Xenopus tropicalis: one gene and its partners. The protein of the gene in region 1 interacts with the protein of each later gene in a pairwise test. Links are inferred from orthologs where the notes say so. Each region holds a gene or a part of one and is shown in the gene's direction. Other genes may lie near its edges.

Region 1 (7,333 bases):
CTTGACTAAAATGACACACAAGGATTTTGAATTATTTCTTAGGGTGACAGGCCCCTTTTATCGCTAGAGTTTGCTTGTAGTTTATGTTCAGTGGTCAGGGAGGGGTTGAAACTGTTTTTCAAAACTGTATTTGCTGTTATTTCATTTATTTGGTGCCCAGAATTATGAAACAAATTGGTAATAAAAACAGTGGGGTTTTTGTTTGTTTTTTTTTTTTGTTTAACTAAACTTTTCAAGTTCAAGATAAAATGTATTGTATTACAATGCAAAATCCAATGAGCTATACAGAATGTTTAATAAATCTTAGATAAGTCTTCTTAAGGAAGAACCCCCGGGCTATAAAAGCCCCCTTAACTAGCACTCACCTCTCCCTTATCGTATTGTTTCTAACTTTAACAACTGTCCCTATCGCTAACCCCAAATTAAAACAGCAGAGTAGCGCAGCTAAGTACCTGACCAACATCTTCTTTGTAACTGAACACACTTCGGGTCTCTCTGCCGATACAAACCCTGCTTGCGCATGCGCAGTTTAAGCAGATTTCAGTGTGTTCAGTTGCAAAGAAGATGTCGGCCAGGTATGCAGCTGTGCTACTTTGCTGTTTTAGGTTGGGGTTAGCAAATGGACAGTTGTTAAAGTTAGAAACAATGTGATAAGGGAGAGGTGAGGGGGGTCAAGGCAGTGCTAGTTAAGGGGGCTTTTATAGCCCAGGGGGTAGAGTTCTCCTTTAATGTCTGCAATATTTGATATTTCATTTGAACTACTTGAACCAATAGTTTTTACCTGTAGCAAATATCTCACTCATACTAATAGGCACAGACCCATTTCCCTTGTTTAGCTGGCTTCATGCAGTGGCAGCGTAGAATACCCAGCAGTTGTTTTCATTTATGGAGTGTATAAATAATTTGTCTTCCACTAAAAATATATTTTTTTGTAGGTATCCCCTTACAAATTACACTTTTGGCACCAAAGAGCCTTTGTATGAAAAGGACAGTTCAGTGGCTGCAAGGTTCCAGCGCATGCGCGAGGAGTTTGATAAGATCGGGATGCGACGCACTGTAGAAGGGGTTCTTATTGTACATGAACACAGATTGCCTCATGTGCTCTTACTGCAACTGGGCACCACCTTCTTCAAACTGTGAGTTCATGAACTTTCCAGTATATTCTTTTTTATTCTTAGTAGACCTGTAGTAGCTGAGAAGGTTTGACTACACATGTCATACAATGCTGCTATCTAGCCATTTGGGGAGTTGTATGAATGTGTATAGATATATATCTACACACACACACGCGCACAAAAAATAAAGATTTTTTTTAAATAATGGTTTTCTGTGTTATTTACTTAAATGGATTCTATAGGAGATAGACTTTCCATAATTCTGACCTTCTTGGATATATGGTTTTCATATAATAGATCCCATATCTGGGTCATTTTTTATGGAAAATGCATTTTCTGACACGCTGACAGTATTGTTGGTGGTTTAATAGGATTTGGACAGTGAACAACCACTTAAAGGAGTTTGAGAAAGATTTCTACTATGGTCACTGTGTTGAATATGTTTATACTTTTTTTCCATAAAGGCCTGGAGGAGAACTCAATCCAGGAGAGGATGAGGTGGAAGGTTTGAAACGTTTAATGACAGAAGTAAGTGAATATTTGATCTTTTACCTTTGTGCTGTAAACTTGGTGATCTTGGATGTAAATTGGAACATTCACCCCACTCCAAACCACATTAATGAAGCTTTTAGGTTCTGCTCCCATTCCCTGGACCAGTTGGTAAAATGCAGATCAGGGACACGGGTGGTGGCCTCCAGGAGGTCTGGGCACTGGACTTGTCAAAAATGGCAGCAGCCAATGTGCATTGCATACGCATTTTGATTTATGAAGGGGAAGGGAGTGATTACCATTGAAATTTTTTTTTGTAGAGGTAGATACTCGTTGCTGAATGTATATGTATGTATGTATATGTAATAAAAAGTAAAAATGTCGGCACTCACAGAGTTCTCACGATAATACTCTCAGGCAATAAGTCATAGTAAGATGCAGTAAGGTGAGGTTTATAGATCCAACGTTTCGGTTCCTTACTAGAACCCCGAAACGTTGGATCAGTAAACCTCACCTTACTGTATCTTACTATGACTTATTGCCTGTGAGTATTATCGTGAGAACCCTCTGAGTGCCGACATTTTTACTTTTTATTCCATGTCTGCTGCTCTGGCACCCAGGTATCGCATTTAAATTTTGGTGTGCTCTTCATCTGGTATTTTGTATATGTATATTTGTAATCAGTTGGGACAAGCAGAAAACTTTTTTTTGGACCCTCTGTTTGATTAATTTGCAGTAAAAGCTTTGGATCTGCTCTAGTGTGTTTACCACACAAGTAGATAAAAAGACAAACATCTGTTCATTTGGTAACCTTGCCAAAGTAGCATTTTCAATATGAGTGGCTGACTTGTCTCATACCCCCTTCTCTTTTAAATTGTAAACTGTATTGAGCAGGGCCCTCTTTGTATGTAATTTGTATCTTCTGTGCGTGCTGGCGCTTTATAAATATGTGAAATGAGGAAGACACCACTCTGTGGTGTGGAAACGTTGATATAATAAAGAAAATGTTTTTCGAATTTTGATACAAAAAAACCTGAGTGCATCAGAATATTTTTTGGACTGTGGTAAAGGAGGGGGAGTACTGAGATTCCTCATCTGATTTGCACCTGGTGAAAAGCTTTGGACAAGGAGTGCATGCCTGTTCTTCAAAAGTTTATGTGACATGAGGAGTTACAAGGAGTCTTTCACACGGGTCTAAATATTAAAAACATTATTTTTGTTTTCTAGATACTTGGCCGTCAAGATGGAGTTCAGCAGGACTGGGTTATTGATGACTGTATTGGAAATTGGTGGAGGCCCAACTTTGAACCTCCTCAGGTATACAGTTTATACCTAATGTTAAAGCAAACATCAACCTTGCTGCTAATTGAGTTTCTATTTATTTTATCTTCAGTGTACAATAATAGTTGAGGATATAGTTTCACTGCACACACACAGTGATTACTTTTTGGTATAATAGTATGTATTTATGCAAGAAAGCACCACTACTTTGCTTGCAGGATAGTGTCAAACTTAATATTGTTAGCATTATCTAGGTTACTAGTTTCACACCCTGGATCAGTGTATTACATATATTTCACCACTGTGCCATGAAGCATCTTTCTGTGTGATGATAAATTGTTCACTTATTTAAAGGACATGTAAAGCCTACATTTGCCTACAATATATATCAGTTGGGCACATCTCCCTCACCCAAATGGCATAATTTGTATTGCATATATCCCCTCCGCTTGCCAGCACCATCACATTTTCCTAAAAGCAAATAGCAGCTTTCACCCAGTGGCCATTTTTCCTCTGATATATAATCAGTTACATTTAGAAAAAAAAATTGAAGCAGGCAGCTAGAGCGGAGTTTCTATGGGAACCAGCAAGGCCCTCTCTTTACTGGCTGCTAGACTGGGGGGCGTGTTTAGTAATCTTGGCTTAGAACAACTGAGCATGCCCACAAGCCAACAGCCAAAGCAAATTCCTGGGGGGCCGAGTGGGTTACAGGAGGAAAAGGAAATCTAAGTGATTAAGGGGATGTTGCAGCCTTACTATTAACCTCTGGACAACCAGTGTGGCAGGTATTGAAAGATTTCAAAGAGGCTGTTCACTGATTAAGTTTTTATGTGTGGGGTTTACATGTCCTTTAAGCTTATTTTGTTTTGGTTTTGTTTTAAGCTTATTTGCCCATTTTCTCCGGTCCTAGCCATTTTCACAATTTCATATACTGGTATTCTGTTGGTGAGCATTGATCTAAAGAAATAAACTGGCTTTAGGGGCAGCTATGCCTTGAACTTTTCTAACAGAAATTATGCTTAGGTAAGAGGTTAGACCTATGCTGCCAGAAGCTTATGGTATCTTTTTGTAGAGACTATGAGAACACACATTCAGCTTGTATTATTATAAGTAGGCAAATTCTTAGGGAAAATGAATATACTGGATCAGAATAAATGTGTATTGCAAATAAATGATTTAGTACAAAAATTTTTTAAATTAAATTAACCTTAATTGTAACTACTGATTCACATTTTTTGTTAAAGGGCAAATCACATAAAGTAAATAAAACATATAACAGTGTTTATATTAAACCTTCTGAACATTTTTACTGTTCTTGCAGAAGATGGCATAAAATAAGCAATTAAGCACAGCTGTAACTGCATATATTTAGAAATAAAGGGGTTTTTACAAAAGCAGTAATTTACAATGTATAATGTGTTCTTTTTGTAAAACAAACATATTGGCCAGTTCTTATGTTTAGACTTCCAGACTTTTTACAAGAACTCCATACAGTTTATTGTATTGTTTGTTTGTGAAAAAGAGAAACATTTAGGTGGTATGTTGATGCTTCATGGGGAGCTGTCAAAAAAGCAGACGTGCAAATTGGCTGTTTTTATTATCTTTCCCCCCTCAGCCTCTCCCTAACATGTCTTTAACTACTGAAACAACCCAGTCATGGTATGTATGTATGTATGTATGTTGATAAATACCTATTTATCTTTGCAGTATCCATACATTCCTGCTCATATTACAAAACCTAAAGAACACAAGAAATTGTTCCTAGTTCAGTTGCAGGAGAAAGGTAAGATGCTGGCTTATCTGATTTTTCTTAAAGGGATACTAATACATAAAAACTGAAAACAGAACTTTCATCTGTTATGCTATGAAGAATGCAGGCTTACACAAGCAGAATTTTGGTAAAAAGTCCTTCTTGGATTGAGCAGTATACTAGTTAAATTAAGCTCAGGGTAGGGGATTAGGAAAAAAATTAGGAGCAGACAGCTAGAGCAGAGTTTTTATAGGAACCAGCAATGCCATCTCTTCACTGGCTGTTGGACAGAAGAGTGTGTTTAATCTGAGTTGAGTTGAGAAGAATTGAGCATGCTCATTACCCAACAGCCAGAGTCTGTTCCTTAAAAAGGGGACCCGAGTGGGTTAGAGGAGGAGAAGGAATCCTAAGTGATTAAGGGGATGCTGTAGCATTACAATTAAGCTTTTAACAACCAGGTATCTATAAAGATTTTAAAAAGGCTGTTCGCTGGTTAAATTTTTTTGCGGAGGTTTACATGTCCTTTAAGCACGTTTAGCAAGCTGATGATCTCGACCAGTATTCATGTACTATGGATATCGGCCAGTTTGTGGATCAACCTGTTTAAAAAAACCTGTATCATGGTGTTTAGTGAATTGGAAAATGAGGCTGTTAAGAGGAGCCATGGCTTGTTGTCTTCAGTACCTGCTGTTTCAATTGTTACTGCTACCTCTCTCTTCTTATGTTCAGTCAGGCTGATCAGTTGGATACTGTGCAAAGTTGTATGAGTTACTACTCACATGCAGATTTGCCCTGTGTTGGTTTAGGGTCCCAAATATTTAATTATCTATTTAGCTCTTGAACTGCATCCAACTTATGTGTTTTGACAACTAATTTATGTTCAAAAAAGATGAATGTTTTTATCTCATGGTTTAAAAATTGAATATGGGTTCAGATTTTATTGGTATCTGTCCGAATCTATACTGTAAAATTTTGTGTTTTGTATTTGTTGTACCCCTAGTTTATACTAGAGGACTGAAGGCTTAACAAGTCAAGGTGTGTTTAATGCACCAGACCTCAGGCATGCATTAAATTGCAAGTAGATAGCCATAATTATCTGATGATCTGAATGACTTGTTTGTGTCTTACATTTTTCTAAATTTAGGCCATGTCACACCAGGAGTTTTGCCCACCAGCATATATATATGTCGGGTGAGAAAACACAGATCTGTTTAACCCTGCCCTGACATCACTGTGCACTGACAGGCACAGAATTGGCCAGTTAGGGTACAGACAGGTCGGAACATGGAAAGTATGCATTTCTGCGCCAGAATTTAGCCTTTCAGTGCACTTATAGGTGCAGAAGGAAGGTCATCATTTTCTCCCCCAGCACAGATATGCCAGTAGAGAAAACACCTGGTGTGACATGGGCTTTACTCTTAAGGAGTTCCCAGCTAATAAGTAAACTTGATAAAATTGACTTTTGGCAGATTATATAATACAATTCTCCAATTAAACCATATTTAACAGGTCACCTGCTTTACAACAAATAGCTAATCGGTTGCTTTATTTTTCTAGACAATTACAATTTAAAAGGAAAATTATTTTAAATGATTTTTCTGGTTTCATTTATCCTTTAGCACTATTTGCTGTGCCCAAAAATTACAAACTTGTTGCAGCCCCTTTATTTGAATTGTACGACAATGCTCCTGGATATGGCCCCATCATTTCAAGTCTCCCACAGCTTCTTAGCAGGTAGGTTGCATTCTGAAATAATACATTTTGAAATATTATTGTCTTGTTTCAAAGTGAGAGTGACTGTGACAAGCCTACATTGTCAATAAGTGCAATATATTTTGTAGTTCTCTCTAAAAATACATTTTAAAAATAAAGTAAATATTTAAACTGTGCCATGACACTGATTACCGATGTATTCAATGGGCTTCAAAGTCACAGTCTGCCTGTCTCTGATAACTAATGGAAGGGAGTCTAGTTTTAATACATAACATGGTTAATTTTATTATTGCTTCTGAATTCGGTTCATACTTTTACATACAGCCATCTGTAAATGTTTTAAATATTTAGCATTTACTGCTGTACATCTTTTTTTCTTAAAGGCTTTGTATATCAGTTTAGTGCTGTGCATACTGTATATGCTATAAAAGAAATTAATATCTGAATATCTGCTTAAAGGGTTGGTTCACCTTTAAGTTTACCTTTAATATGTTATAGAATGGCCAGTTCTAAACAACTTTTCATTTGGTCTTCATTATTTTTTATTTATAGTTTTTATTTATAGTTTTTGAATTATTTGCCTTCTTGTTTTAAAAAAACGGTTTATTGTTATTGTTACTTTTATTACTTATCTTTCTATTCAGGCTCTTCTCCTATTTATATTCCAGTCTCTTATTTAAACCACTCCAAACTGCAAAACCAATGAACAGAAATGTAAATAAATAATAAAAAAGGATAGACCAATTATCTCAGAATATCACTCTTTCTACATCATACTAAGTTAACTCAAAGGTGAACAACTACTTTAAGGGCTCTGGCACACGGGGAGATTAGTCACCCGCAACAAATCTCCCTGTTCGCGGGCGACTAATCTCCCCGAAATGCCATCCCACCAGCAAAAATGTAAATCGCCGGTGGGATGGCATACGCGGCGGCGTGATTTCCGTGAAATCGCGGAAGTTGCCTTGAGAGGACCAGGAACATC
Region 2 (8,030 bases), on another chromosome or scaffold:
ACAGCCACAGTCCCTTCCCAGAGGCTATTATCCCACTGCTACTATAGGCACCATCTCTCCCTACTATACCTGCTATCCCACAGCCACAGTCCCTTCCCAGAGGCTATTATCCCACTGCTACTATAGGCACCATCTCTCCCTACTATACCTGCTATGCCACAGCCACAGTCCCTTCCCAGAGGCTATTATCCCCCCACTGCTACTATAGGCACCATCTCTCCCTACTATACCTGCTATCCCACAGCCACAGTCCCTTCCCAGAGGCTATTATCCCACTGCTACTATAGGCACCATCTCTCCCTACTATACCTGCTATCCCACAGCCACAGTCCCTTCCCAGAGGCTATTATCCACTGCTACTATAGGCACCATCTCTCCCTACTATACCTGCTATCCCATAGCCACAGTCCCTTCCCAGAGGCTATTATCCCCCCACTGCTACTATAGGCACCATCTCTCCCTACTATACCTGCTATCCCACAGCCCCAGTCCCTTCCCAGAGGCTATTATCCCCCACTGCTACTATAGGCACCATCTCTCCCTACTATACCTGCTATCCCACAGCCACAGTCCCTTCCCAGAGGCTATTATCCCACTGCTACTATAGGCACCATCTCTCCCTACTATACCTGCTATCCCACAGCCACAGTCCCTTCCCAGAGGCTATTATCCCACTGCTACTATAGGCACCATCTCTCCCTACTATACCTGCTATGCCACAGCCACAGTCCCTTCCCAGAGGCTATTATCCCCCCACTGCTACTATAGGCACCATCTCTCCCTACTATACCTGCTATCCCACAGCCACAGTCCCTTCCCAGAGGCTATTATCCCCCCACTGCTACTATAGGCACCATCTCTCCCTACTATACCTGCTATCCCACAGCCACAGTCCCTTCCCAGGGAATATTATCCCACTGCTACTATAGGCACCATCTCTCCCTACTATACCTGCTATCCCACAGCCCCAGTCCCTTCCCAGAGGCTATTATCCCCCACTGCTACTATAGGCACCATCTCTCCCTACTATACCTGCTATCCCACAGCCACAGTCCCTTCCCAGAGGCTATTATCCCCCACTGCTACTATAGGCACCATCTCTCCCTACTATACCTGCTATCCCACAGCCACAGTCCCTTCCCAGAGGCTATTATCCCACTGCTACTATAGGCACCATCTCTCCCTACTATACCTGCTATGCCCACAGCCACAGTCCCTTCCCAGAGGCTATTATCCCCCCACTGCTACTATAGGCACCATCTCTCCCTACTATACCTGCTATCCCACAGCCACAGTCCCTTCCCAGAGGCTATTATCCCCCCACTGCTACTATAGGCACCATCTCTCCCTACTATACCTGCTATCCCACAGCCACAGTCCCTTCCCAGGGAATATTATCCCACTGCTACTATAGGCACCATCTCTCCCTACTATACCTGCTATCCCACAGCCACAGTCCCTTCCCAGGGAATATTATCCCACTGCTACTATAGGCACCATCTCTCCCTACTATACCTGCTATCCCACAGCCACAGTCCCTTCCCAGAGGCTATTATCCCACTGCTACTATAGGCACCATCTCTCCCTACTATCCCTACTATACCTGCTATCCCACAGCCACAGTCCCTTCCCAGAGGCTATTATCCCACTGCTACTATAGGCACCATCTCTCCCTACTATACCTGCTATCCCACAGCCACAGTCCCTTCCCAGAGGCTATTATCCCACTGCTACTATAGGCACCATCTCTCCCTACTATACCTGCTATCCCACAGCCACAGTCCCTTCCCAGAGGCTATTATCCCACTGCTACTATAGGCACCATCTCTCCCTACTATACCTGCTATCCCACAGCCACAGTCCCTTCCCAGAGGCTATTATCCCACTGCTACTATAGGCACCATCTCTCCCTACTATACCTGCTATGCCACAGCCACAGTCCCTTCCCAGAGGCTATTATCCCCCCACTGCTACTATAGGCACCATCTCTCCCTACTATACCTGCTATCCCACAGCCACAGTCCCTTCCCAGAGGCTATTATCCCACTGCTACTATAGGCACCATCTCTCCCTACTATACCTGCTATCCCACAGCCACAGTCCCTTCCCAGAGGCTATTATCCCACTGCTACTATAGGCACCATCTCTCCCTACTATACCTGCTATCCCATAGCCACAGTCCCTTCCCAGAGGCTATTATCCCCCCACTGCTACTATAGGCACCATCTCTCCCTACTATACCTGCTATCCCACAGCCCCAGTCCCTTCCCAGAGGCTATTATCCCCCACTGCTACTATAGGCACCATCTCTCCCTACTATACCTGCTATCCCACAGCCACAGTCCCTTCCCAGAGGCTATTATCCCACTGCTACTATAGGCACCATCTCTCCCTACTATACCTGCTATCCCACAGCCACAGTCCCTTCCCAGAGGCTATTATCCCACTGCTACTATAGGCACCATCTCTCCCTACTATACCTGCTATCCCATAGCCACAGTCCCTTCCCAGAGGCTATTATCCCCCCACTGCTACTATAGGCACCATCTCTCCCTACTATACCTGCTATCCCACAGCCCCAGTCCCTTCCCAGAGGCTATTATCCCCCCACTGCTACTATAGGCACCATCTCTCCCTACTATACCTGCTATCCCACAGCCCCAGTCCCTTCCCAGAGGCTATTATCCCAGTTGATATTATTAATCCTTTTCTGACACCTACACAAATACACCTCATGTCATGTTACTAAACTCCCTCCTGCTTTCCATGTAGAATCACCTGAGAATCCCAAAGCCCTGGTTAGTGCCCGGACAGGGCCATTACAGGCATCATATTAAAATAAACAAGTGCTGCCCATCACGGACAGACGGGCCCCGGTTAGAGTTACCTGCTCCAGGCGTAATTGTGCGAGCACCTCAGGTGTCACACGCAAAAATGTGTCCTTAGCACTTGTGAGTTTCAGGGACACAGCAGCCCCGGGCGGTCCCGGACCTAGCATCCTACTGTGGCGTACCCACAGCAACCCCCTTCACTCCAGCGCTGTGTATGACGAACGTGCAAGTAACAGAACTTCCATCGCTAACGTTATCAGCTCCTTCATGCCTACTGGGTAACTTCCGCGCTGTTTCACCTTTGACAATCGAGGAAATCCCACTCACCCTGTGTCTGCTGACGTATAGTACCTCCCGCCCAATCAGAGAATGGCGTGCTCTAATGACGCCTGTGTGCGGGGCAGTCCTTCCGCCTATTGGTTCTGCTGCCTTTCCGCCTATTGGTTCTGTGTCCCGGCCTGTGTTTGGTACAGGGAGAGAGGGAACTATTTCTTAGACAGCAGAAGCCGATGGCAGAAAGCGCAGCAGTGCAAGTGCAGGCCTACGCACACCATGAGCAGCGAAAGATATGCGCCTCACGGGCCAAGTACCGCGAAGGACGGAGGCCCAGAGCAGTCAAAGTGCGTGAAACATTTACAGTTTTTGTTTTGGTTTTTATACGTCCACACAACTAGTATTCCAGCGTATTCTTGCGGTGGGACTGAGCGCCAGTGCCGCTCTAGCAGGTTTCCCTTCGTAGAAATTGCTCCCTAGAGTTATCACTGAGTTACAGCTTCCATAAGAATGTTAGCTCTTCTATATTCATGTGGTTTTAATTGGGCACTGTGTGGGAACTGGTAATGATTTCTGTTTCTACATAGGAGCATATTGTTCCACTGAAGGAAAAAATGCTGCCTTTTTATCTGCACCCACTGATAGGGGAATAGTGTGGGAGAGGGATTAGAGTTCTAGTTCACCATTTGGAGGCAGTAGGTTTCATTATAAACTATGGGCTATTTCCCATGATTGTAATTATAGATGTCACAGACCCAGTGGCTGCAACTGATAAGGCTAAATATATGTTTATGAATAAAAAGATAATTTTGTGGTTGGGCCCAGTGGTCTCTAGTTACACCAGCAGTCATGTATACTGCAAGCCAGTGGGGTACCACAACAATTTCAATTTAGGGCCCAAAAAATATTTGTATGTTAACCTATTCTACCAAGATACATTGACATTTCTCATCAATTAGGGTCTTATTGGGCCACTTCCATTCCTGGGCCACTTCCATTCCTGGGCCACTTCCATTCCTGGGCCCCCTTCCAACTGCAGGGTCTGCCCTAGCACACACTCCAGTTTCCCTTTCCTTGCCCTGTAACATTACATCATTTCACTCTGCACACATTCTCATACAACCAGCACACTTAACATGTCTGCATATAAAAAAAACACACACAAACTGATACTATTTTCTTTTAATTTCATAAAGAAGAGTATAATGCACTCAGTTACTGGGTTCACGTTAAACTGAGGGGTATATTTAAAAAAAAAAAAAAAGTTTAAATTTGACGCTTACCAAGATTGACTTGTAAGGGTCTGTTTTAAGCTTTCCATATCATGTGACAAATGTAAGATGCTGATGTGCATTTAAATTTTAAATGTTTGAGAAATAAAAAAAATTATATTTTGACCAAAAACTGAAAATGTGCCTCATCTCAGTTTTGTGCCTGTAGCCCTCGGCTATTGCACCCAGTCAGATTTATTCATATAATGCCAGAGATTCTCAGCTGGATTGAGGTCAGGCCTGTGACAGAGCCATTTGATCACTGGGATCACTGTTCTACTGAAAGATTAATGTTTATTTTTTAGCAGCCTGGAACAGGCTTTTTTTTGGTGATATTTCACTGTATTTTGCCCCATGCCTTGAAAACAATATTCCCAGTTGCTGCGTTAATTATATAACACACAAATCTGTGGTACTAATGAAGAATCAGGCTTTTGCGCAGAGAAATCTTTAGTTTAGGACTTTAAAAACTGTTGATTCCTTGCTGAATACTTGGACAGATAACCATTTGCTTTATACAGTATGGCAAACATGGCATATACAAACAGTTGTATCACTCTGGCTTGATTAAGCCATTTTACAGATGATGCAAATAGAAAAACTTTAACGTATGTTCAAGCCAAAGAAAAGTATCCAGTGCTTTCTAGCAAGTTACTGGCTTTCCTTCAAAAGCGATACCAGTAAAATTATATAGCCATCCTCCCGCCAAGAGAGCTATATCACTGGGCTTTAAACTATTATATAAGCAGAAATGAGTTGCTGGAAAGCTGCACACCATAAGAGCAAGTTAATACCTGGGTGCCAGTGCTGAAAGCGTAGATACACAGGGTTGGAATGACAGCACACGCAGGATGTTTTTCAAGAAGAATCACAGAGGTTTAGATAAATAAATGTGAGGCTTTATTCAGTCCGACGTTTCAGTTCCTATCTGGAACTTTCATCAGGGACAGTAACATCACAGTGCAGTACAAACCTTTTTAAGCACAAAAGGGCCCTAAACCTCTGTGATTCTTCTTGAAAAACATCCTGCGTGTGCTGTCATTCCAACCCTGTCTATTATATAAGCAGATAGTCTATACTTCTTCCACCAAGGGACACAACAAATGGCTTCTGAAATTTTCTCAATTACAAATGTCTCAAGGCCTTACAGTATGCAAATAAATGTCTTCCAATGGGATCATATAAAGAAATGCATCTAAAATTCTTTTTATTGAGCCTACTACTCGCCAAAAGTCAGTCCCAAATAGGACTCTCTGGAGGCAGATTTATTTAATTGTTTCTGGACATGTCCTCATAGTAAAAAGTTTTGGGTATCAATAACTTGTTATGCCATTGATAACTTGCTAGACTATGTTCCTATGTTACCAAAATGGATTATGTTCCTATGTTACCAAAATTGACAATGTTTGGTATCCCTACCAAATACTAGACTTATTGGGGGAGTAGAAAAGTACTGTTTATCATATCTGCAGCTGCTCGTAAATATATGCTACAAGTGTGGATAGAGAAACAACCCCGTCACTGTCTTTTTTTAAAAGTAAATTTTATATATTCACCTATTATTTCACCTGTTTCACATGGATTGGCTAGAAGTCTCCCTCCAAAAAGAAAAACACACGAGATGAAGAAAGAAACAAATGGCAATCAGTTTTAAAATGTTTTAAGAACAATTATTTTAAAACAAGGTTACTGATCCACCAGTAGTGCTATAGATGCTATAGAAAGCGCTTTCTCTTACCATTATCCTTCCAAGTGAATGACTTCACTTTGAGAATTATAAAACTATGCTTCTTGTAGATTGTAAGCTCTTTTGGGCAGGGCTCTCTTCACCTTTTGTATCGGTTTTTGATTGCTTAGATGTCCAGTGTATGAAACCCACTTATTGTACAGCACTGTGAAATATGTTGGCACTTTATAAATAAATGTTAATAATAATAATAAAAGAAAACCCCCAAAAACTGGCAATTCCTGCTAACCTTTTCCATTACTTTTAAGGTGTACACTATAAATCTGGAGTCACGGTACCTCTTGGTGCAAGGGGTTCCAGCAATCGGTGTAATGAAGGAGCTTATTGAGCAATTTGCCCTTTATGGAACCATAGAAGAGTATAATGCGCTGGATGAATACCCTGCTGAAGAATTCACTGAGGTGTACCTCATTAAATTTCAGAGGATACAGAGTGCAAGGTAAATAATGTTGCTGTACACACTGACTTGCAAAAGTACTCAGACTCTTGGCCATCATTGTATTCAAAAGAACTATCAAAGAAGAAAAATTGTGAAAATACATACGTCTGCATAAAAATTTAATCCACCTTTTACAGCCGCAAGATTTTTTTTTCCAACATAATACAATGCAGTGTAATTTTTTTTGAGTTTAAGCACAATTTTTAAATATAAATATCATAGAAATCTAAACCTAGAATGTGATATCTTCGTACAGGTATGGGATCCCTTATCCGGAAAACCGTTACCCTTTCCTCTATAATTATAAAACAGTACCTTGTACTTGATCCTAACTAAGATATAATTAATCCTTATTGGGGGCAAAACAATCCTATTGGGTTTATTCGATATTTTAATGATTTTTATGGAGATCCAAATTATGGAAAGACCCCTTATCCTTAAAAATTTATCTTGCACTTCTCTAGAGTCGCAAAACGGAAGTTAGATGAACGCAGCTTCTTTGGCAGCATGCTTCATGTCTGCTACGCTCCAGAATTTGAGACTGTCCAAGAGACTCGAGAGAAACTGCAAGAAAGAAGAAAGTTTGTAGCAAGGGCCACATCCAGCAAAGGTTTGTTGCACAGCATGTGGAGCTTTTTCATTTGGCTACATACACACTGGTGCCTAGTAGTGCTTTTAACATGCAGACAAAGAACACTGAATTCAACCTTGAACACATGCACAAAAGTTTATATATATATATATATATATATATATATATATATATATATATATATATATATATATATATATATAAGCAAACAGAGTACCGCACACATAGGGACTTTATGAAAAAACAAAAAAGGTTTATTGAAATAGATCCGACGTTTCGAGCACCAAACTGTGCTAGAAACGTCGGATCTATTTCAATAAACCTTTTTTGTTTTTTCATAAAGTCCCTATGTGTGCGGTACTCTGTTTGCTTATTTAATTTTTTTTTGACCAGCACCGAGGGCATTCGTTTGCCTGATGGGTGTGCTCCTTTCTGTTTCTGTATATATATATATATATATATATATATATATATATATATAATATAATAAAGTCAAATTGTGTGTCCACACTCTAAACAGGTGCAATAGGTGGGTGCTAGGTCGAAACATGTAAATACCTATAAGAAGGACCAGCGTGCCGAATCACATCAATATTTTCTTTTTATATCCAGAATGCTCGAGATCTGGGTTTTTTTAGAAAAAGAAAATAATTTTTTAAAATTTTAATTATTCTCTTATAATGTAGTCTATTTGATATAGCCTTTCTGTACTTTGAAACTTGTCTGGATAATGGGTTTCTGGATAGTGGATCCCATACCTGTGTATATAAATATAAATCTATAAATATATATCTCTGCGTGCCTACATGGGGTGAGGTATGGTGCCTTTATATAAATGCAAGTTACTCTACTCTAAACTCATTATAACCACAGCATG
Region 3 (7,333 bases), on another chromosome or scaffold:
TTTATTATTACAGAGAAAAGGGAATCATTTAACCATTAAATAAACCCAATAGGGCTGTTCTGCCCCAATAAGGGGTAATTATATCTTAGTTGGGATCAAGTACAGGTACTGTTTTATTATTACAGAGAAAAGGGAATCATTTAACCATGAAATAAACCCAATAGGGCTGTTCTGCCCCCAATAAGGGGTAATTATATCTTATTTGGGATCAAGTACAGGTACTGTTTTATTATTACAGAGAAAAGGGAATCATTTAACCATGAAATAAACCCAATAGGGCTGTTCTGCCCCCAATAAGGGGTAATTATATCTTATTTGGGATCAAGTACAGGTACTGTTTTATTATTACAGAGAAAAAGGAAATCATTTTTTAAATTTAGAATTATTTGCTTATAATGGAGTCTATGGGAGATGGCCTTTCCGTAATTCAGAAATTTCTGGATAATGGGTTTCCGGATAAGGGATCCCATGCCTGTATTATTGCATAGTCAATAGTATACCTTTTATATACATTTTTTTTAACTTTTTTTTGCTGTGTTACATGTTTTTTTGCCTTATAAAAGTTTTTGGCTGTGTGACTAATGTGGCAGTAAATCACACTGCGTATGGGTGTGTTTTGGTGCTTTTATTGCATTTTTAGCTCTGATGGTTTTTATTGGATTTAAGTTATTTTATTGCATTCTGCAATGTTCCCCATTACATGTTTTAGCCTGTGAAATCTTTATTTACAAGTTTTCTCATTTTTTGAGGCCTCTGCTGGTGATATAAGTTGTGTAATCCTATGCATATTGGGCATCAAACTTTCAGAAGACCCCTGGCGTTTCAATTTAGGTTGTTTAATGTTTATACATAACTATATTTGAGAGATAAGATGCTGTAAATTGTAAAAAAAAAAAAAAAAAAGCTAACTTTAGTAAAGCTTTGCATTTCGGTAGTTTGGAGTAGAAAAACATTTACCCATTTTGGATTCAGAAAATTGTATGCTTAATAAAAATACATGGTTTCTGTGCTCCGCTTTGGTTTTCTGGAGTAAACAACGATTTCGTAATGTCCACGATAATATAGTTTAAAATTCCACAACTTTTTCTTGCTTTTCGTTGACTTACACAAAAAAGTCGTATTTTTCGCAAAGACTACGGCCATTTCGGAATTCATTCAAGCTTTGGTATCGTGACTATTTTTTGGCCAGGTTGGATCTCTAGAGTGCCATTGAGTCCTATGGGTGGCTTCCAAAATCATACATTGATGGTTTCAAAGTCAGAAAGGTTTTCGTGCTGTTTCCGAACGTTTGGAACCGTAACCAAGATATTTTCGTGACGTTTTCTAACATATGAAATGTTTGAAAATCACATCATGGTAACTCCGAATTTTTTGCATATCGTGATTTTAACCACAAAATAATTGTGGTTTAATGAATGGGCCCCTTTGTCTATGACTAATTAAGGAAACTGATATGTTGCGTTAATAACATTTTTGTTTTTATTATAGGGATGCACAGAATCCACTATTTTTTGATTTGGCCGAACCCCAAATCCTTCGTAAAAGATTCAGCCGAATACCCAACCGAATCCTAATTTGCATATGTAAATTAGGATATGGAAGGGTTAAGGTGCTGCAAAAAATTTTCAACTTCCGTGTTTATATAATAATAAGGATTTGGTTCGGCCGGGAGCATGAATTCAGCCAAACACAAATCCTGCTGAAGAAGGCAGAATCCTGGATTCGGTGCATCCCTAGTTTTTATTATACTTTTTGGTGACCTACGTGATTTCTTGAGTTCCTACCCCTTTTTTGGTATATATGATAATTTTTTATAGTTTCTGGGGGTGACTGACACCAGCAGCCAAAATTTTTTTGCTCCATACCACTACAGTGTTGTTATTATTGTTACTTTTTATCGCTTATTTTTCTATTCAGATCCTCTCCTAGGCATCTTCCAGGGCTCTCATTCAGACCACTACCTGCTTGCTAAGGTAAACGTGATCCTAGCAATCAGATAGCAGTTGACATTCCAAACTGGAGAGTTGCTGATCAAAAAAGCTAAATCGTTCATTTAAAAAATTGCAGATTGTATTAGAATATCACTGTCTGCATTTTACTAAAATTTGAATTGCAGCATTCGAGCGTTGATCTAGCTAAAACTATATTGCAAATATTTCTCATTGTGCGGCTGCCATTACGTCACACTTCAAAGTCAAACCTTTTATTTGTACAGCGTTGAATGATGTGTTGTAGTGCTGCAGAAACTTTGTGTTCTATAATTAAGTCTATAAGTCTGTATAATCTATTAATAAAACTACAAGGCTGCTTTGTTCCTTGACAATTCAGGATACTTTATGATATTAATATGACTGATGTCTACTATGCCCTGTGGGGAGCAGTGAAGTCATGCTTTACGATGTAGCAAGCAATTGTGATTTTCAAATGAGTAAACAGACAAGCAATTGTCAAGGCAGGAAGAACAAACCATTTTATCATATGTATAAGCATGGTGAGATGCTGGTGAAGGAAAAGCTAGCTGATGAGTTTACACATGTACCATTGTAGCTCATCTGTGACATAATTATAGGTTGTTACCTAAAGGAGCAGTTCATTTTCAAATTAACTTTTAGTATGTTATAGAATGGCAAGCAACTTTTCAATTGGTCTTCATTTTTTATTTGTTATAGTTTCTAAATTATTAGCCTTTTTCTTCCAACTTCTTCCAGCTTTCAAATGGGGGTCACTGACCCTAGAACTATTAGTCTGTGAGGCTACTATTTTATTGTTGTTGATATATTTTATTACTTTTCTTTCTGTTCAGGCCCTCTCTTATTCATATTCCAATGTCTCACTCACATCACTGCTTGGTTGCCAGGGTAATTTGGACCCTAGCATCCAGATAGCTGCTAAAATTCCAAACTGGAGAGCTGTTGAACAAATAGAGTAATAATTTAAAAACCACATATAATAAAACATTGCATCAAACTAAAAGTTAATTCAAAGGTGAACAACCCCTTTAATATAAATGAACAATTAATATTTTGGTCCAGGCATCAACGAGCCAATGCGGTCCCTGATCCAATGAAAAATCAAACCTGCCCGATTTTAGGCCAGATATCGCTCGCGCGGGCCCGTCGTTAGTGCCCATACACAGGCTGATAACCTGCCGAATTGGTCTAATGGACCAATATCAGCAGCTAGAATCGGTCCGTGTATGGCCACCTTTAGAGTTGGCCAGTAAGGGTGAGAATTGGGCAGTACGAATGAATATTTTGCTGAAAGCTGATAGTTTCAATTTACCATTATAAACAACAACAAAGTCAAATGTATAAGCATTTACATTTATCAATCAAGACATATCCCTTAACTCAGTCCTGCTTTAAGAAACCAAAAATCACATCTGGAAATAAACTTGGATGAAGAAAGACAGGAGTTGCTGGAAGAACAAAAATTATGTCGAATTCGAGCGCAGAAATTAAGCATAGAGACAAATCGACGAAGAAAGTAAGTCTATACTGGTGTTTCTTAAAGGGATACTGTCATAATTTTTTTGATGTACTTTTTATTTCTAAATTACACTGTTAACATAGCAAATAATTCCCTCTACCATTTAATTTTTTTTCCTTAAACCAACAAATGGATTTTTTTAGCTGTAATATTGGTGTGTAGGCACCATCTCAGTGCATTGTGCCTGAGTCTGAGCTTTCAGAAGGAGCCAGCGCTACTCATTAGAACTGCTTTCAGCTAACCTATTGTTTCTCCTATGTAACTGGAAGAGTCCCAAGCCGGACTTGGATTTCTTACTATTGAGTGCTATTCTTATACCTACTGGGAGCTGCTATCTTGCTGCCGTTCCAATTGTTCTGCTGATCGGCTGCTGGGGGGGGAGGGGATCACTCCAATTTGCAGCGTAGAAGTAAAGTGTGACTGAAGTTTATCAGGGTGCAGGTCACATTGGTGTGGCACCCTGGGAAATGAAGAATATGGCTAGCCCCATGTGAAATTTCAAAATTAAATATAAAACAATGTGTTTTTGAAAAACAGACTTCAGTGCAGGATTCTGCTGGAGAAGCTCTATTAACTGATGGGTTTTGGGAAAAAACAAGTTTTCTCATAACAGTATTCCTTTAAACTTATTCTCAGGAAGCCTAGAAATTCTGCATTTGCATTTATATACCATATTTTGATTCCATTTTTGTTACTGTTAGTGGAAACTTTACCTAACAGATTGGTGACCCATATGTAATAGTGAAGTTAAAGAGGGAAGTGTTTTGCCTATGGCACATTAGGGTTAGGTCTTAGCTGGACAAATTCCTAGTAATTAATGGCCTGTGAAAAACAGAATGGTCTTGAATAGGCTAAGGAGCAGATACAACAAAAGGGGCAGGAACTCTGGGAGGGGTCTTCAGGGTCTCTGTGCAGCAGTATTTAATATGTTAATGGCACCCTACCTGTCTCTGTTTAGGTTTCCTTATTTAAGTTTGAAGTAATTGTATTTGCTTTTCAAACTGTTTCTGTTCAGCTGTCAAGTGGGCAAATGTTGAGAAATAAATGTGTAGTGTTATTCCTGTTATAGAGCCTACTTTTGCAGCTATAAATGTGTTCCTAAAGGCTGCCATATACCTGCCTATATCTGATCAGCTGGGTGATAGACTGATACTAAATGAGTGGCTATACTCCGTATGGGCACCTTTCTGTTGGTCTGTTTGTTTGCTCTAACAGCCTAAATGATGGAACAGTATAAAGTGAAAAGGACCTACAATCGATGAAGCAACCAATATATATTGTAACACCAAAAATGAAGTATATGTTGAAGGGCAGGTTTGATTTCCCCTTCAAGTTGAGGACCTTGTCGTCTTGTTGATGGGGTCTTTGACCCAAATCTCATTTGTTGAGATCCAGTCGTTTTGCACTCGGGCCAAGCAATTGAATCGGCCTAATATTGCCCACCTTAGGTTGACAAAGTGGTGAAAGATCCCCTCGTTTAGCCCATAATATAGCCGACTTTAACCTGCTTGCAGATTCAGTTTCATATGAGAGCCATTGTTCTTTTCTTTCTTTCATAATTCTTATTGCCTTCCAGTGCTGTCACTTGGGTATTAGCCCAATTGTGGCAGATATAAACCAGTAGATACAAACCAAATACAAACCAGTAATGGCTGAAAGTTTGCAGAGGAAAAAACAAACCTTGCCCAGCTTTGATTACAGCCTTGATAGAGAATGAAGCAATCTATGCGAATCTAATATATAATACATTTTGCATAAATAACCGTCCATAATTCACTTTTTATGTATTTAGTAGAACAAAGACCTTTTGTTAACTAAACATTATGATACTTTTATTTAGAAGCTTGCAGGTAAACGTGATACTCTGCCATGGAACGTATGGAATGCATTAAGGCCCATGTTCTCATTTGGAGCATTCATAGGTTAAGAGTTACCTTAGACCTAACTTATTAAAGGCTATAGATAGATTCTATGTCCTGAAGATCCTTTGTTACACTAGTTCTTAGAAAGAATAAACCATTCTTTGGTTTAGTGATCCTGAAACTTACACTGTACCGTAACAATCAGCTCTTTTCCATTCACTTCATGCATTCATTTGCTATTAATGCAGCCGCAATTTTATTGCTGCTCGGGGATAGATACACCGCTAATTACTAAACAGACACTTTCACTGGAATAAAAGCTTTGTTTCTAAAAGTAAATTGAAATATTCGCAAATACCTATCCGGTAGTGATGTGTGGGGCAGGAAAAACTCAACAACCGCCTGACCTGAACCCGCAAAACCTTAACTCATACCCAACCCTGACCCTCAAAACTTTGACCCGCACCCAAAATATTGGCATTGCAAGACCCGACCCATACCTGCATCTTTCCACTCCATATGCTACTTCTTGTGTGGTTTTGTTTCTAAGACAGGAAATAGGGGCTGGAATGAGGGATAGGCAGAAGAGGCATGTGTCTAGGGCGCAACGGTAGTGGGGGGCACTATGCACGTACCTCTTCTTTCACATACCCCTAGTCTAGGCCCTTGTCCCACCACCGTCCCCATGTTCATTACTTTCCACTCCCTGTCTCAGGCACACTCGATTGTTTGCACAAATATGAAGGTTCGGCCGGGTTGCCTAGGGAATCTGTAGGAGCAAAGGTGGAGTGTATTTTTCCAGTCTGTCCCACGCCCAAACTGGACCTGTACTGGTCAACACACACATCACTACTACCGGGCAAGCTTTAAAGGAGAACTAAAGCTTAACTAAGGAAATAGGCTAGAAATGCTGCACATTATGTTTTGGGCTTCTGTACTGGACTTCTGTGCCTCCTTAGATGCCCCCATTAGCTCCTCGTCTTGTTTTCTCCTTATTCACTGCCTATACTCTGTGCTGCTGCTGTCACTTACCTGAGCTTAGGGACCCATTCACAATATACTATACTCATTCACATTCACATTACATGGCAGCTTTGAAGTCAGTGCAGTTGTCATCAGAATTTAACAATCAGCCCTGTAGCATCAGTTTATATTACAGGCCAGCCTAATTTTCAGCTTGATAATTTACTACAACCCCTAAGCTCAGCTTCTCAACAGCTGCCCAGAGCACACTGAGCACGTGCAGTGCCACTGACAGATCTAACAGAATCCAAGATGGGGAGCTCCTGTGACTACTGTAAAGACCTATATCATTATTAATATAGAGATGCTGAACCTTTTGGCTAGTGCAGTGAGTAGTATAGAAAATATGGCATTTCTGGCCATATTTGTTTTTAGGGTTTAGTTTTATGTTGTTTAATGTTGCTTTTAGTTATTAGTTGGGCCTTATTCAAATTGCAAACATTCATTTACCTCGATTCAGTTGGTCCCGCTAGTCAAATACGAAAAAATACCCCCCTCCCCCTCATTATTATCCCTGACTTCCAGGAATAGCTAGAAGGCCAAAATGAACATTCATCCCAATTTCCCATGTAACCAATCTACAGGCTGGGCCCCCTTAACTCATTATCATCCAACAGTTTGGGAACATCTGCATTAGGCTGTGAGTAGCAGTGATATAGCTAATAAGAAAATGAATAATTATGTAATATATAAGGATGAATATTTACAGAATGAGAGTTAAAATGCACGCTTCACACACATATCCTGTAAACATTGCATAAATATTGCTCATTGCATGCAGAAAATCCATTAAAAACCAGCACGTGTATAATTTCTGTCTATTACACATTGTAGGTTACAAAACAACAAACTTAGCAGTGTGCTCATCATTAATAATAATCATGCCAGTACAGGCAGTAAATAGAATTGCTCACATTATGCTTAATCACTAGCATGTTGGCAGAGCTTCTCTGTTTACA
Region 4 (8,096 bases), on another chromosome or scaffold:
CCTCCCAAAAGAAACATTTTTTTACATCCTGAAAATCACAGTTGGTGAGAAACATGGGAAGTTCTTGGCCAGCCTGGATGTGATAGGGACTGCAGATGGGGTAATAAATTGTGCACCAATCTCCAAGCAAAAAGAATACCCTCTACCTTAGCATTAGGCATTTTCTATACAGTGATTCATTTAGAATTTGTAAATTCCCAGTGTATTAAAGTGCTAACTTTTTTCCTGGGTCTGGTTCTACTGTTTTGTAACCTCCACCTTACCCTGTTTGCCCAAGGATGCCCTGTGCTGTAGTATACTTGCGCATATGCAGTATAATAAAGATGGAAACAGCTGCTGTATTGTGTATTGTGCAAGTCTGGAAGTCTGACTGAGGCACAAAGATCCCTGGGAAAAAGTGTAAGATGGCAGCAGGCTGGGCACGGTGCTTACATGGGAATAATCCTGGGAACAAGAGCACCTGCCCGGGGCAAAAGTGAGATTTTTAATACACAGGTGAAATTGGTGCTCCTCAGTCTATTTAGCTTTGCTTGTACCATTTGAGGTAATGTAATATTTCTGTAATATTTATGCAAGGCATTTATCAAAGAGTACCTGAGAAACAGAAATTTAACAGCATCAGCAGCTCCCTGATAGCAGGTACCATAGTATTTACAATTTTCCTGCAGGCAAGCAATAAAAGGGTATCTAAGGCTTAGCTTAAAGAGAACCTCAGCCCAGGGTCACTGCTGCCATGAGGCAAGATGAGATACTCACTTCAGGCAGCAGCACCCTGCAATTGCGCTCCCTGTACTAGCGATGCGGCCCCTGCCTAGACCCCTCTGGCACTGTAAAAATAAGCATGGGGGGCTAAGGGGGGCGGCATTGCTAAAGCTGCTTCGGGCAGCATTTAAGACAGAATCGCCTCTGCCTCAGCCATTCTTGTGGGCTGTTTAGTGAATATGAGTGGTGCAGGCAGGGGGTGCAACAGGCAGTGCAATGGTGCAGGCAGGAAGGGGGACCCCTGGCAGTGTGATGGTGCAGGCAGGAAGGGGGTGCCACTGGGAGTGTGATGGTGCAGGCAGGAGGGGGGTGCCACTGGCAGTGTGATGATACAGGCAGGAAGGGGATGCCACTGGGAGTGTGATGATACAGACAGGAGGGGGTGCCCCTGGGAGTGTGATGATACAAACAGGAAGGGGGTGCCACTGGGAGTGTGATGATTGCACGGTCACATAGTAGTAGTCTATGTCATTAACTTAAACCTAAAAATAATCATGTTCACCATCGCTAATACCAATTAACAATTCACCAGTGTAACAATTCACATATATACAAGTACAACAATCAATAAATAAATATAAATTAGATCATAAAGCATTAATGTTTAGGTTCAGCAACACCTTTGAGGCACTGATTAAGTTAAAAGAAAGTAAAAAAAATCAAATGCATACTTGCAGAGATTATATCACTGACCTATCCTATACACTCACATACATAAATTATACATACAAACATTAATACTAACTGTAGATATTAGTATCACAATAGCCTTGGATACTATGCTTGTTCAAAAACTTATCCAGGCCCCTCTTATAGGCATTAACAGAATCTGCCATTACCACATCACTAGGAAGGGCATTCCCCAACCTCACTGCCCTCACCGTGAGGAACCCCCTACTGTATGTTGCTGCAAATGAAAGTTAATGGTGATGGTGGCGCGGCGGGAAAGATCCGTATATGTATTTATTTGGCACCAAGGCCATTTCACATAAAGTAAATAATTCAAATAGCATTAGCAAATAGCCCATCTCCTGCCCCCTTACTGAGTTAATCTACAAGCTAGCACCTATCACTGAAGCCCAGCATAAAAGAGGGAATAACACTGGTAGGAATAGGATTTTCACTAGTAGTGACAATGGGAATGTATAAGCTGAAGGTACAAGGTTACATTTGCTTTGTATCTATAGGTTTTCATCTCTGCAGAAGTTGCCATGTAACCTCCAGTATAAGACCCCTCTGTTCAGCTATACCAGCAGAATGGAAGCCTGACTTCATTTACTTTAACCGTCTCATCTGTGCAGTTGGCAATGTAACTGTGTTTGGTATAGATTATAAAACCTCCAAGTGATTGATTGAATTTGAAATGCGGTGCGCATGTCATAATTGTCAAAAGTAGATCCAGCTGTGGGTCCGTGGCTGCCCATGGTGGCAGGGCCGCCATCAGAAATCACGGGGCCCCTAACAACAAAATTTTCTGGGCCCCCCTCCCCCAGGGCCCCTCCCATCAGTACAGGACACACAGACATAAAAAGTATTAGGGCCCCCCTACCACAGTGCCCCCTAACACTATGCTGGCCAGGCCCCCCTAACGCTATGCTGGCCACAGGCCCCCCATAAAATTGCCCCATATACAGTACTCCCATACACAGTGCCCCCAATTGCCCCATACACAGTGCCCCCATAGACAGTCCTCCCCACACACAGTGCCCCCAATTGCCCTTAGACAGTGCCCCCAATAGAAAGTGCCCCCATACACAGTGCCCCAATTTCCCCCATAAACTGTGCCCCCAATTGCCCCCATAGAAAGTACCCCCAACAGACCAAGTCATCGTCGGCTGCTCCTTCTCTCTTATGCTGCGGCAACAGGCCCTTCTATAAGGTTGCACCTCGTCGCTGACGTGTGACTTCATATGCACAGGCGCAACCTTATAAAAGGGCCTGTTGCCACAGCATAAGAGAGAAGGAGCAGCCGACGATGACTTGGTCTGTTGTGGGTACTTTCTATGGGGGGCACGGCACGGCGCGGTCTATTGGGGGTACTTTCTATGGGGGGTACACTCTATGGGGCAATTGGGGGCACTTTCGGATTCGGTTCGGTGCAGAGCATGGATTCGGCCGAAACCGAATCCTTGAAAAAAAAACGCAGTATTCGGCCTTATAGGAAATAGTATATATACAAATATATAAAATATATTATATATACCATTTGGTAAGCAGATTTTATACATGACCAGTACAATATATAAATTTTTATGCAAATATCAGACTATATATATATATATAGTTGAAACAGAATACCACACTCACAGGACTTAGTGAAAAAATGCGCTACATTTTGGCGCCATTGTGGGTTTAAGAGTGGGTTTGTAATTACTTTGTTCACTTTGAGAAAGGCTGTGGATACGGCCGAAACGTTAGATAGATGTTTTTCACAATAAAACATAACTACATTTTTTCACTAAGTCCTGTGAGTGTGGTATTCTGTTTCAACTGTAACACTTGTATTTTGTATACTGCACCCAGGCATTTTGATATAAAAATACCTGAGTGCCTGCTCCCTACCAGCTCTGTAAGAATATATATATACTGGAACAATGACAGCACTCCTAGGGTTTAAAGAATTGTGAGAAAATGTAAATGCAAAAATAGAAAGGTTTATTACTAAGTAACTAAGTAATAAACCTTTCTGTTTTTGCCTAATAAATAAAATGAAAGTGTTAGATATTATAAAATAATTATGATTACATAATGTAGTGATTACATAAGTGACCAGTAAAATATATACATTTTTACGCATTTATCTGTGTGTGTGTGTAAATAATGTTTTTCCTAATACAAAAATTAAAATGTTAGATATAACATAATTTTGATTAAATCATTATTAATTAAGAAAATTTCACTTGCGATAAAAGTACAAACCCATCCCAAGCAGTTCCGCTTATTGGCCAGCAGAGAGCGCACAACGTATATTTGCGTTTGACGTTGCCAGGGCTTGGGGCGGTGACGGGGAGATGACGTAGTTAGGGCTACAAAGAGAAGAAACCGGGAGCTGCGATTCACATTCCGGAAGGGAGAAGACGCGTCAAGATGGTGAGGAGTGTTCGGCAGCTGATAGTCTTTCCCTAGGGGTCTAACCCCAAAGCTGGGACTGTCCAACCTGCGGCCTTTCAGTACCTGATGAGACAAAAGTCTCAGGTTGAAGTTGCATTATAAAGGCTGGAGGGCCGCAAGTTGTCTGTCCCATTGCTAGTGAGGAGATTGCGCAACATCGGTGGATTCCATTGCCTGGCAGATGTTCTTGCCGCTGGCATGCAATGCCCTTTCCTGGCACAATTCCCCATGCCTATAGATTGCCGCTATTACATGTGGGAGACATCGGCAAGGTTGCTGGGGATCACTTTCCGCCCGTGTCGCCCTGGGCCTAGTGGGTGGGTGTGTTGGGGAGGCTATGCCTGTCTGATGCCTTGTGTTTCTCTTGCTTTGAACAGTGCGACTACTCCGACGACCAGATTGCCGGTAAGTGCTCGCTTGGTCTCTATACGCGGCCAGATAGTGATGATCCGTCTCCCCATAGGCTCAGGCTCATCAGTGTCTTTCCCTCGCTTCCCTCCTCCCATCATGCTCACCCTGTCTCTCTCATTTCTCTGCCCTCTCAAGCCTGACTGTACCCAGAGCAGCCGGCCGGTAAGTGGGTGCCCCTCACACTAACCCCGCACTCATTCCTTCCCTACTCACCTTCAGCTTTATTTTTCTAATCTTGGGGTTCTGCTTGGCCCCCCAAACAGACAATCCTCCTTCTCCCAGACATTGTGTCATTAAAGCTCCTGTGCCAGTGATTGGCTGTCTGTGAGACTGGGAACTCTAGTTCAGCAACAAGCCTTGCCCCTCCCTGTTCTGCAGTGATGCATGTTTGGCCATAAGTTAGCCAGAGTGTTCTGTTTCTTTGCAAAATCTGCCCAACTTTGTGATTGGCATGAAATGTGTTGTTGCCTTTTCCCTAATCTACTTTAGGCTTAAGCACCCAGGATCTCTGGCAAATAAGGGGTTAATTTTATCAGCAGTGCAGGACCCCCCTGTGTGTGTGGGAGGGGTTTGTTCTAATTCACATTCTAACCAGCTCTTGTTGCAGAAGGCTAATTCCATGGTGGACTGGACATGCCAGTACTACCCTGTAATAGACATAATGGATGTACATGTAATTGGATTGTATCCATCAGAGCTATGGCTAAAGACTCCTGTATCGGGTTATTGCAGGGCTCTGGGCGTGTTGGCGCAGACAGTGTTTATGTTCCTCCTGTACCTACATTGTTCTTTGACACACACGCCCTCCCTCTCCTCAGAGGAAAATGGCTGCCAGGCTGTTCTCTGGATGCCTTATATGGTAACAAAGCCTCATTCTGAGCCTGTCAGTGCAGAACTGTCAGCAGAGGAGGGGTTGGCAGTGAGGAGGATGGGGCTGAGCTCCCTGCATTCCTGCCGGGCTGATGCCTGCAGGCTGGATTGTCTCTTCCCTCACTGGGTTGGTGCAGCCCAGCCTCAGATCTGCTGTGGGTTGTACTGGGCGTATTACTGTGTGGCAGAGAGGGAAACGTTCCATTTGAAATGATTTCCTCTGAAAGGAATCCAGCAGGAGGGGTCAGGTTAGGGAGTGCCACAGGAAGGAAATTGCCGGGATCCCCCCCCCCCCCACTCGCCTGATTGCTTGCAGTTACTATTTCTAGTCTAAGGGCTGCCGTACAGCTTCAGCCAAGACATTTGTGCAGATGTTATAGCTGTGCAACAAATACTTGAGGAAACTGATGTAGAAATATATATATATATATATATATATATATATATATATATATATATAATGGAAGTTGTTATATGCAGTGGGAGTCCTGTTCCTTCAGGTCCCTAGATGTTGCTGGATTACAACATCCCATCATTCGTCAATATTTTTTAAAGATTTAAAGCATGCTGGGACTTGTAGTCCAGCAACATCTAAAGCAGGGCAATGCAGATTTTTGGACAGCAGAGATCCATCTGATCATGTTCAGACTTCTGAATATAGTAAAGCCCAGGAAGCCTGGTAGTATTTATATGTATATAGTTGGTTAGTACATGTTATAGGGGAGCAAAGAGTAAGTTAGTGCTCAGTATGTGAAAGCTAACAATAAGCTGTGCTGTTGGGAATATATGTGCCCTTACATTTGTAAGTATGCACTGCTGACCCTGCATGCTGACGCGTGTGTGTTTGCGTTAAGGTGGTTGTCACAGGGGCCAATGGAGAGTGATTTTATACTGCTTACTTGGACAAAGCTTCTGAAATCTTGTCTGCTTGTGTCCTGTATCATTGGTCCCCTGCCTATGGCGCAATCCTGCAGTGTTGACATGGGCCCAGTCCGAAGGTCAGTTAGCATGGGAATTTGTGGGAATGCATATTTGCAGCTCTAGATATACTAAACATCACTGATAAATTATATAAAGGGCCCCTGACAAAATATTGGACCTGTGAAGGGTGGGGGCATGAACAGGAAAAGTGCCTAAATCTTTATTTGGTAAATACCAAGAGTCCGTGTGGTTACTCCGTGACCCACTGTCACCTTGTGCTAGTTAACTAAATATTTCTGCGCTAATGCAATGAATTCTCTGTGCATCCAATTCTGCAAAGCTGCTCCAGTAACTGTGTCACTGCCAGTGACTGACCCCCACACTTTGTATTACTGGGTGAGTTTGCATCGGGCCATTTCTTTCTCTCAGCCATTCATGCCCTAACTTATTTCAATTCATTTTTACTTTGCAGACTACAAGGAGTCCTTCCAACTTTTTGACCGTGTCGGCGATGGCAAAATCCTCTTCGGCCAGTGTGGGGACGTCATGCGGGCACTGGGGCAGAACCCCACTAATGCTGAGGTGATGAAGGTTTTGGGAAACCCAAAGCCTGAAGGTGGGTAGAAAAGACAAGGAATGAGAGCCTTGAGTAAATGTGTGCCCTGGGTATTGTCAGGGAGTATTGTGTGCTCCGCTCCATATTTCTGTATGCTGGGCAGTTTCAAAATATTTTTTTTTTTTTTTTTTTTTTAGAGGCCAGTGTCTCATGTCATTGCCTATATTTACACTTTTTTTTTTTCCTTTAAAAGGCTCTCTTAGTAGTTAAATATTCTCATTAAACTAAGAATCACTTGTAGATATATGATGAGGGTTATTACATGCAAACACGGTGGAACCAGTAATTGCAACATTGCATCATACATACAGGCGTTTCCCATTGTTTATGAAGGAGAATATTTTGCAGCCATTCTTGCTGGTTGTGTTGCAGGCAAAACATAAAGCACCATCATACTGTGCCACACAACTGCTAGTAAAGTACCTGAAACAGCAACAATGTCTAGCCTATTGGCTATGTAACCTTCTATCTAGGGGGCTTTACCTGTATGGCTGGTGCTAGTTTGTTCTGTCTCTTATTCCTGCAGACATGAACATCAAGACACTTGACTTCGAGCAATTCCTCCCCATGATGCAAACAGTTGCCAAGAACAGGGATGTACCTGGATTGGAGGACATCATAGAAGGGCTAAGAGTCTTCGACAAGGAGGGAAATGGCACAGTTATGGGCTCCGAGTTGCGTCATGTCCTGGTTTCCCTCGGTAATAACACAATCCCTTGCAAGCTATGTGTGTGTTAGCTAGCCTGCTGACTATCCACTACCATTGATCAGAACAATGGGCAGAACAACTGACTGATACTCGCAAGGCCTAAGATAAATTAGATTTTTTATTTGTCAGTGGGATGTTGAATGGCATCACACCAGAAGAAATTGTATGGCACCTAGGCTTATGGCGCACGTGATGATGATTTTTTTTTTTAACTAGCAGGACAGCACCTGAACCATATTTGATCCATTAATGCAAATTACCGACTACTATAATGTGTCCGATCATTTTCAGCTGCTGGAGAACATACCTTACGCTTGTTATGGAAGTTGTTACGTAACCCTTAATGTTTCTGTTCCACAGGAGAGAAGATGACAGATGATGAAGTAGAGACCCTTTTAAGTAATCATGAGGATGCTAATGGTTGCATTAATTATGAAGGTGAGCACTGTACAGGCATCTTGCTATGGAAGTGTTTTTATCTAATGTTGAATAATATTGTTTCTGAGGACTCATGCTGGGCAGCCGATTAGGAATGTTCTGGGAGAGTAGTGTTACTGGGAATGTAACTGTACTTTGGGTGGTGGGCCCACATGTGCACGATGGTATATGATATCTTGTCTCTGATGATTTTCGTTCCCACAGTGTTTGTCAGGAACATCTTATCTTCGTGACTTCACTCAGTGGGTATGCTGGTTC

Evidence for each region.
Region 2: the proteins of nudt21 (region 1) and rbm48 interact in a two-hybrid assay, tested with the Homo sapiens proteins (2 studies listed by BioGRID and IntAct). The link is inferred for Xenopus tropicalis from reciprocal best matches to the Homo sapiens genes NUDT21 and RBM48.
Region 3: the proteins of nudt21 (region 1) and cep126 interact in a two-hybrid assay, tested with the Homo sapiens proteins (2 studies listed by BioGRID and IntAct). The link is inferred for Xenopus tropicalis from reciprocal best matches to the Homo sapiens genes NUDT21 and CEP126.
Region 4: the proteins of nudt21 (region 1) and myl6 interact in binary tests that used the Homo sapiens proteins (3 or more experiments, as listed by UniProt). The two-hybrid records come from large-scale screens. The link is inferred for Xenopus tropicalis from reciprocal best matches to the Homo sapiens genes NUDT21 and MYL6.

The regions. Positions count from the first base shown.
Region 1 is NC_030680.2:51,659,749-51,667,081, reverse strand, and holds part of nudt21 (cleavage and polyadenylation specificity factor subunit 5), read left to right. Parts: intron 1-935; coding exon 936-1,136; intron 1,137-1,579; coding exon 1,580-1,643; intron 1,644-2,831; coding exon 2,832-2,921; intron 2,922-4,592; coding exon 4,593-4,668; intron 4,669-6,254; coding exon 6,255-6,369; intron 6,370-7,333. UniProt on the Homo sapiens protein: Component of the cleavage factor Im (CFIm) complex that functions as an activator of the pre-mRNA 3'-end cleavage and polyadenylation processing required for the maturation of pre-mRNA into functional mRNAs.
Region 2 is NC_030682.2:31,760,940-31,768,969, reverse strand, and holds the start of rbm48 (RNA-binding protein 48), read left to right. Parts: upstream 1-3,225; 5' UTR 3,226-3,340; coding exon 3,341-3,451; intron 3,452-6,370; coding exon 6,371-6,561; intron 6,562-7,025; coding exon 7,026-7,171; intron 7,172-8,030. Other genes in the region: pex1 (peroxisome biogenesis factor 1), read right to left, coding at 2,888-2,998. UniProt on the Homo sapiens protein: As a component of the minor spliceosome, involved in the splicing of U12-type introns in pre-mRNAs.
Region 3 is NC_030678.2:162,392,706-162,400,038, reverse strand, and holds part of cep126 (centrosomal protein of 126 kDa), read left to right. Parts: intron 1-3,366; coding exon 3,367-3,486; intron 3,487-7,333. UniProt on the Homo sapiens protein: Participates in cytokinesis. Necessary for microtubules and mitotic spindle organization. Involved in primary cilium formation.
Region 4 is NC_030678.2:137,524,988-137,533,083, reverse strand, and holds the start of myl6 (myosin light polypeptide 6), read left to right. Parts: upstream 1-3,840; 5' UTR 3,841-3,849; coding exon 3,850-3,852; intron 3,853-4,250; coding exon 4,251-4,278; intron 4,279-6,547; coding exon 6,548-6,691; intron 6,692-7,217; coding exon 7,218-7,391; intron 7,392-7,760; coding exon 7,761-7,838; intron 7,839-8,042; coding exon of another isoform or gene 8,043-8,071; exon of another isoform or gene 8,072-8,084; intron 8,085-8,096. UniProt on the Homo sapiens protein: Regulatory light chain of myosin. Does not bind calcium.